2 linked regions of the Oryzias latipes genome follow. Each later gene encodes a partner of the first gene's protein in a complex. Links are inferred from orthologs where the notes say so. Each region holds a gene or a part of one and is shown in the gene's direction. Other genes may lie near its edges. The genes, in order: smc5 and nsmce2.

Region 1 (3,822 bases):
CCGCTCCGCACTCCAGGCAGCCATCCGCCCGGCCCACGGTTGGTCCAGGGAGGAGCGAGGCAGGGGCCCGCCGCCCCCGCCCAGGAGGGGGGAACCCCGGGGAAAAAAGAGGGCCCACAAGGGGTGTTGTAAATATGGCCCGACCAGGCTCGGCCACAGTTGGAAATTTGGCAGGGCCCAGCACTCAGGAGCAAGGACCAGAACCCACCCCCCAGGGACACAAACACCCCCGGCTCAGATATAATGTGAACCCCCCCACCGTGCGGAGAGAGCACCGCCGGGCCCAGGAAGCCGGCACCCCGGGGACACGGCCGCCGTTGCAAAGGGGCCCGTACCCCCCACCAGGGAAGAGGCAGGGGACAGATGGTCCTAGGTCCCACCTTCCTTGCAAAATGTGTGTGCGTGTATGTGTGTTTGAGAGAGTGTGTGTGTGCATGTGTGTGTGTTTATGTTGGGATGTATATATTGAGGGGGGGAGGGGTGTATGTACTAAGGGGGGTGCAGTTAAAATTGGCGGGTAGGGCACTAAGGGCACATCTCCTGATTACTCACAGTGACGTCCCCTCACCCTCCCCACCAAGGGGCCCTAAACGTCTAAGGTGCGGTTAAAATTGGCGGGTAGGGTGCTAGGAGGACATCTGCTGCTTGCTGGCAGTGATGTCCAAGCACCCCCCCTACCAAGGGCCCTACATGTTTAAGGTGCAAATAAAACCGAAAGAGGGGGGGCCCACTCCATACGGCAACCATAGGAGGGGGGCCACTGCCTAGTAAACCCCCCCCAAGGCTCATCGCAGGCTAAGCCCCCCACCCCCTCACCCTATTATGAGGTTATATGAGGAAGGGGGCAAGTTGGGGACAGCTGATAGACTGTCCCCCGGTGGTCAAACAGCTGTCCCCCGCCCCCCCCCCCCCCCCCCGCCCCCAACAAGGGGGCCAGGCCCACCCAGCCCAGGGGCCCCACCCCCCCCACACAGAGAGAGAGGAGCCAGAAAGCGTTGGCCCCCCCCCGGAGCAAGCCCAGGCCCCCACCCCCAAACGCCGGCCCTAGAAGAGCTCTGGTCAGGCCTCGACGGGACCGAGGCAGCCAACCGGCCGGGGAAACCGCCGATGGCCTCAGCGGAGACCCCGACCCGTCAACCCCCCCTGCCCCGTACCAATAGTGGCCCCCATCCCTCCCCCAGAATGCCCCCCCACAGGACAGGGCCGACAAGACCCCCCACCCCACCCCCCCCCAGACCCCGCAGCCGAAGCGGATGACACCCAGAGCGACCGGGGGCCCCAAGAGGGTTGTCCCGTCCCGCCCCAGAGCCAGGGAAGGGCCGATCCCAGCCCCAGGTGTAGATGGGAAGCCCATCCAGCGCCGCTGGGCCCCCCCCCCGAGCAGCGCCCCCCGCCAACCCCCCCCAGCACAGGCAAACGGACCACCCCCCAAGCCAAGCCAGACCACCACCCCACCCCCCCACCACGCACCCCCACACCCAAGCCCAGAGGACCACGCAGCGCCCCAGCCTGCCCCACCCAGGCGCCGGACCCGACCCCCCGACCAACGGAGCCCCCACCACCCCCCGCCAGGCCCCGGAGGCCCCGACCCCCACCCCGGCCTACGGCAGAAGGGCAAGGAGCAGCGACGACCAGGCCCCCCCCACCCCCTAAGTCATGGAGTTAGCCATGGGAGACCAGAGAGACTGAATTCTTTCAAAGTTACTTGAACTTTGGGCTGACATTTTTTCCAAGCTGATATGATCAAGCAGCAGATTTCTGTGTTGACTTATATTTATATTTTTCTTGCTTTTTCAATTTATTAAAATAGTTTTTTTAGCAATGCAAAGAGTTATGAAAATGATAGAGCCTAATCCTCCTTCAACATCGATGGCACTCATGTCACCAAGCACACAAAGTGACGGTGAAGCTGTGATTGAAACCTTAAGCCAGACTGATAAATCGGCACATACCTGCTGCCAGAGAGCCTGGACAGGCGTGCAGAACCACAGTGCATGCATGTAATTATCGGGTAGATTACTTTCACAGTGCTGACAAATGTCTGAGTTGCTGAGACCCATCTTGAACATCCTCTGTCCAGTGTAGTAAATTCTGTGTAGAGTTTTGAAATGGATTAGCTGCAGATTTGGACTTTTTGTCATTTTAAAGGTGTTTAGACAAAGTTCTGACCAAAAGCTTTCATCTGTGCTGATGCTCAAATCCGCATCCCATTTTGTTGTCGGAAGTGAAATATTGTTATCTAAATTACATAAAAGTTTGTATATTTTGGAGAGAGTTTTATTCATTGAGAAATTGATCAGAGTGGTAACTACATCTGGTAGCTTTAAATCGTTGTCTCTGTATTTAAACTTTTTAGTAATAATTGATTTAAGTTGCTGATATTCCAAGAAGTTATATATTCCATGTTTGTCTTGAAGTTCCTGGGGAGTTATGAATCTTCTATCAATAATTATATGCTCTAGTTGTTTTATGCCCCCTGCTTCCCAAGCTGGGAAATGGATAATTTTTTTGTTTATGAGGATGTCTGGGTTGTTCCAGATGGGTGTCATTTTGCACGGTTGAATTGATGATTTTGATATTTTGAGAAATTCCCACCAGGCTGTTAAAGTGGCATTTATATTAATACTAAATAAACAATCCTGTTTTTTAACTATTTGGCTGATATATGGAAGATCTGACAGGTTGATCTTCCCACATAACGCCTGTTCCAAGTCTAACCATGAGTTGGTTTCTGGATTATTTTTAACCATTTTAAGATGTATTGTAATCTATTTGCAAGAAAGTAATTGTGGAAGTTAGGTAATTCTAATCCTCCACAGCTTTTTGCAGATTTTAAAGTTGTTGTGAAATGTTGATCTATTTTCATGATTGTGCCGCTTTTGGCAATATTGGAGCTATCCAGCCGTACAAGAACATGTTAAAAACACAATTTTGGGTCTTTTGAATCAGTGTATGTGCCTCCATGGTGATCACACGAAATCTTAGAAAGCAGTCAAACCATACATTTGCAGCTGGAGCTCAATTGCTTCATCTTTTACAGGCTCAGTACATCACACAAACCTTAGTGTTTAATTTACAAATTGATCCGTGTGATAATTTAGTTAGTTGAACAAAAATCAACTGGCCAAAAATTAGCTTGAAATACTTATTTAGTCAAAGCTGAGTTTAGATTTAGAATACAAGGTATTCTTCAGAGATTAAACAGTTTTATATAAAATTAAAAACATGATAAAAACCAATTTTCTAAATGGTCTTAGATTCTAATGCCCTAAAATGTAACTTTAGGTTGGCATGTTAGCAATAGTAACTTCCTCACTTGACAACAACAGCCTCTAGCTGTATCATAGGACCTTTCTTTTGTTTGTAAAAACTGCAGCACCTTCATTTCACTCGTAAATACACATTGATGTTATTATTTGACATTTGCAGGCGTTTCGGCTTTTTCTCTTACCTTCGGGAGATGTTTGACGCCCCTGATGACGTGATGAGTTACCTGTGTCACCAATACAAGGTGCACGATGTGCCAGTGGGCAACGAAACAACCAAAGCTATGATCAAAACGGTAAGTTTCTGCCATCCTTGGAGCAGGAAACGGATCATTTTAACTTGAAATGAAGACTTTTTTAGAGATTTAGTCTAAAGAATTTCGCCTTTTTTTAAAGCTTTAAATCCCACATGACATTATACACTTTCATGGCAGTAAATTGCATTTTTTTTAAAGAATACTTTTTTTGAATGATTATATTCATATTTCTTTCATTTTTTAGAGTTTTATAAACTCGAATTAAAAATTAGCTTTGAAAGATCATCTAACGGTTTCTG
Region 2 (3,850 bases), on another chromosome or scaffold:
GTTTAGAAGATCATCTGGCGCATGTAAACATTTATTATAATCGGAAAAAGTTTTTCTGGGCCCATGTACACGGTTGAATTCGAATCCGATCAAAACATTTTGTACATGTAACCGCGGCTAATGTTTGTGTCTATTTTTCTGAAGACATCAATAAAGGTTGCATATTGAAATAAATGTTTAAAAATAGCAATAATTTGCATTCATTTGCATAATCCTTGAAGATAATTTCAGCCGGCAGCATTTACAGGCCACAATGAAGCCGAATTTGTTGTGAAAATGATCTATAAAATGAAAAAAAAAAAAAAGATTTATGTGTAGGTGGATGTCTTGAATGTCTCTGTTGCACACTTTTAAATGTAAGATTTTGTGGATGGAGGGTTTATTTATTTGGAAAGCAAAATATGTTGCTCTTTAGCTACATTCTGGCATTTACCTGCGTATTTTCCTGCCGACTTTTTAAGGGTTTTGTGCAACAAATGAAGGTTTACAAATGAGATGCTTGTGTTCTTAGCCAATCAGAAATCAGCAGAGAACACGGAGGAGTTTGATGAGGACATCGCCGTCACACAGAGCCAGGTCAATTTCACCTGCCCGCTCACACAGGTACATCGCTGACCCCCCCCCCCCCCACCACCACCTATTTTCTGACACACCTGTTTAACTTTTAACGTTAAGCTTTTTTTTTTTTTTTTTTTTTTTTTTTAAGGTGGAAATGTTAAAACCAGTCAAAAATAAAAAGTGCAACCACTACTATGATGAATCTGCCATCTTGGACCTGATCAAAACAAGACGCAACTTGAAGAAGAAGTGCCGGTACGAAACCCTAGTCTTTTGAGCTAATGAAACTTTATAAATCTAGTTCCATTTTGAGGATATGGTGATGTTCTCGATTACAAAGTTTGTGTTGGAGGGATTTAAGTGTTCCAAAGAAGAAACTGATATTTGTGCTTTGTTCCATTTCATTTAGATGTCCTGTGGTGGGCTGTGAAAACGCAGATGTGAAAGAGTCAGACCTCATTCTTGATCAGATACTGAGAAGAAGGATTCAGAACCAAAAGAAGAAAAACAGCAAAAATTAGCACTGCTTTACTGATAACCTATCTGTCCATGTTTTATTTTTTGGGGTGCAAATGTTCTATTTTTGTGCAAATATTTGTTCATTAAATCTGAATTTTTGGAACCTTTTGTCTTTTTTTTTTATCATGTTTGATATTTTGGTGATGCAATAATGTGGCTACACCACAAGAGGGCAGCGTTTCCACAAAGCCGTTTAGGGGCTTTTTCTACTATTTTAAATTAGTGTCAGGTGAAGATACTGTAATTAGTAAATACAGTAAAAAAAAAAATGAAACAATTGAGAGTTCCATCCTCCAGTTTTGCAGAAAAATATTTTTTTTGATGTAAAGATTATCCTGAAACTTCCAAGGTGACAAACAGTCTGTTCTTTCACCTCTGTGGAAATGCTCTTATGTGTTTAAACCTCGCTTTGCTTATTCACGCTGCTTATGAAGGGTCATTATTTCACAGAAAAACACAAACGAAGGCAGTGTTGAAGCTAATCTTTTAATAATCTTGCATCAGGCGTTTAAAAAGCAAGAACCTTTTACAAATTAAGAAATTAACAGGGAACAAATTCTCCTGCTATTGTCGACCCACTACCCCTCTGCTCGATTTTAATTACCATTCTGCAAATCTTATTGTGTTTGCCACACAACATGCGTCACAGTTAATTAAATAACTGCAAAATCTCACCTGTGATTTAGTCACTCATGGAAGAGAGGCTTTTTTTTCCAGCTGGTTCATTAATGTGTTTGAAAATGAAATCAAATTATTGAGTGCGATTGCCCACGTTTGACCTCAAATTAGCACTTATCTCCTCTAAAGCTTTAAGGCGTGAAAGCTGCCTGTAAGTCTGGATGTCTGGCTCATCCAAGGAGGATTTTACCTTTGGCTGCCTGGAAGCAAACAAACGATCATGTCTTGGCAGCGGTGTCTCGGCTGTGCCGGAGCTTTAGATAAATGAGCGGAGAGCAGCAGATAAGAACGTCAAAATTGAAGTTTAATCTATACTTTTTTTTGTTTTTTGCTTCAAACTCATAGGTTTGGAAGTAATCATAAAAAGCGACTTGTTTTTTTTTGGGGTGTTGACGCAGATCGTTCAAGGAAAATAATATTCTGGGCTTTATGACCTTCTCTAAGGTGAACAAAACTATTAAGGTCTGGCAGCAGAAAACACTCCAAGTGATGCATGAGCTTTTCAATCTGTATATTTTTTAAGCCGTGCAGGGCTGCTATGGTAAATCTTAAAAACAGAATTAAAAAAGATGATGGGAAACTTTATGAAGATGTGTAAAAAGTTGTATCTTACAACATTTATTTGAAATGTGACTTAATAAATACGTTTCACCACTTTTGTATGCATGAGAGTGTGTGACATACTTTGATGTATAGTCAGATCTGGACTGCAGGCAGGCTGGTTTTGCATCCCAACCCTACACTGTTCAGCAGGTTTGTGCTCCATATGGAATGTGGTTTTGCATTCATTAATATGAGAAGTATTTATTAAAAATCATTGTGTCGAAAAAATCAGACGTTTCTCCAAAACATGAATATGGTATTTGGCAACCTGATGCTGCTTTGAGCTGAGAGCAGATCAATCAGGAGGTCCCTGTCTTTGTTTACAATGAGGGATGTAGGATACTAACTCATCGGCTGCTCTATTAGGTTCACCTCGTACCAAGCCGGACCCCCTTTTTCCTTCAGAACTGCCTTAATCCTTGGTGGCATAGATTCAACAAGGTCCTGGAAACATCCCTCAGAGAGTTAGGTCCAAACTGACGACAGCATCACAGTTGCTGCAGATTTGTCGGCTGCACATCCATGATGTCAATCTCTCGTTCCATATCCCAAAGGGGATCTATTGGGTTGGGTTGAGATCTTGTGACTGTGGAGGCCGTTTGAGTCCAGTGAACTCAAGTTTATCCTGCTGGAGGTAGCCATCAGAAGATGGCGGTCATAAAGGGATGGACATGGTCAGTAACAATTCTCAGGTAGGCTGTGAAGTGGTAGTAAGGGGTCCAAAGTGTGCCAAGAAAATAACCCCCACACCATGACATCACCACCACCAGCCACATATCCATCCACATGTTGGTGAGGAAAATTTCCAGTAAGGTTTTCCATTTCCCACTAATCCAGGAAAACTCTAATCATTTAGTGATTTTAAAATCTTTGAAGATGCTGGAGGTTTTTGGAATTGCTAAACAATTCACTTATTCTCTTTAAAAAAAAAAAAAGGAGTGAATCTGCGCTCAAAGAAATGAAACATTAGATTAAAATAAAAAAGTTTCGTCAGCCGGTCCTACAAAACTATTTTGTTTAAATTTGAGAAAGAGTGGATGACTGAAATTTAACAAACTATCTTGAATAAATTCCACAGTACACAGTTATAGTAAGTTTACATTGTGCTATTAAGTATAATGCACTCAACATTCTTGCGTTGAGTTTCTTAATCATTATGTTGAATTTACTTAACATTATTACGTTAATTTTATAAATCTTTATTTTGGATTTACTCAACATTATTGCGTTGCATTCATTAATCATTATGTTGAATTTACTCAATATTGGGTTAAATTGTGAAACCTACATAAAACTTTATTTTCTCATTTTTGAGCAGAACAGCTGGAATTTTGGTTCACTGACATTCCCTCTTGCATTGGGAATAAATGTTGGCAGTGACGCCTGAACAGGGCATGCTGTTGCTTTAAGAGACACAACACCTCCCAGCAGTCAGATCTTGAACGAGTTTCGTTGCAACAAACAGGGTGTCTCATACATACAACACACAGCA

The links.
Region 2: smc5 (region 1) and nsmce2 share a complex: the UniProt entries of both Homo sapiens proteins name them as parts of the SMC5-SMC6 complex. The link is inferred for Oryzias latipes from reciprocal best matches to the Homo sapiens genes SMC5 and NSMCE2.

What each region holds. Positions count from the first base shown.
Region 1 is NC_019865.2:11,190,583-11,194,404, reverse strand, and holds part of smc5 (structural maintenance of chromosomes protein 5), read left to right. Parts: intron 1-3,429; coding exon 3,430-3,562; intron 3,563-3,822. UniProt on the Homo sapiens protein: Core component of the SMC5-SMC6 complex, a complex involved in repair of DNA double-strand breaks by homologous recombination.
Region 2 is NC_019874.2:13,952,436-13,956,285, forward strand, and holds the end of nsmce2 (E3 SUMO-protein ligase NSE2), read left to right. Parts: intron 1-511; coding exon 512-603; intron 604-706; coding exon 707-813; intron 814-967; coding exon 968-1,079; 3' UTR 1,080-3,278; downstream 3,279-3,850. UniProt on the Homo sapiens protein: E3 SUMO-protein ligase component of the SMC5-SMC6 complex, a complex involved in DNA double-strand break repair by homologous recombination. Is not be required for the stability of the complex.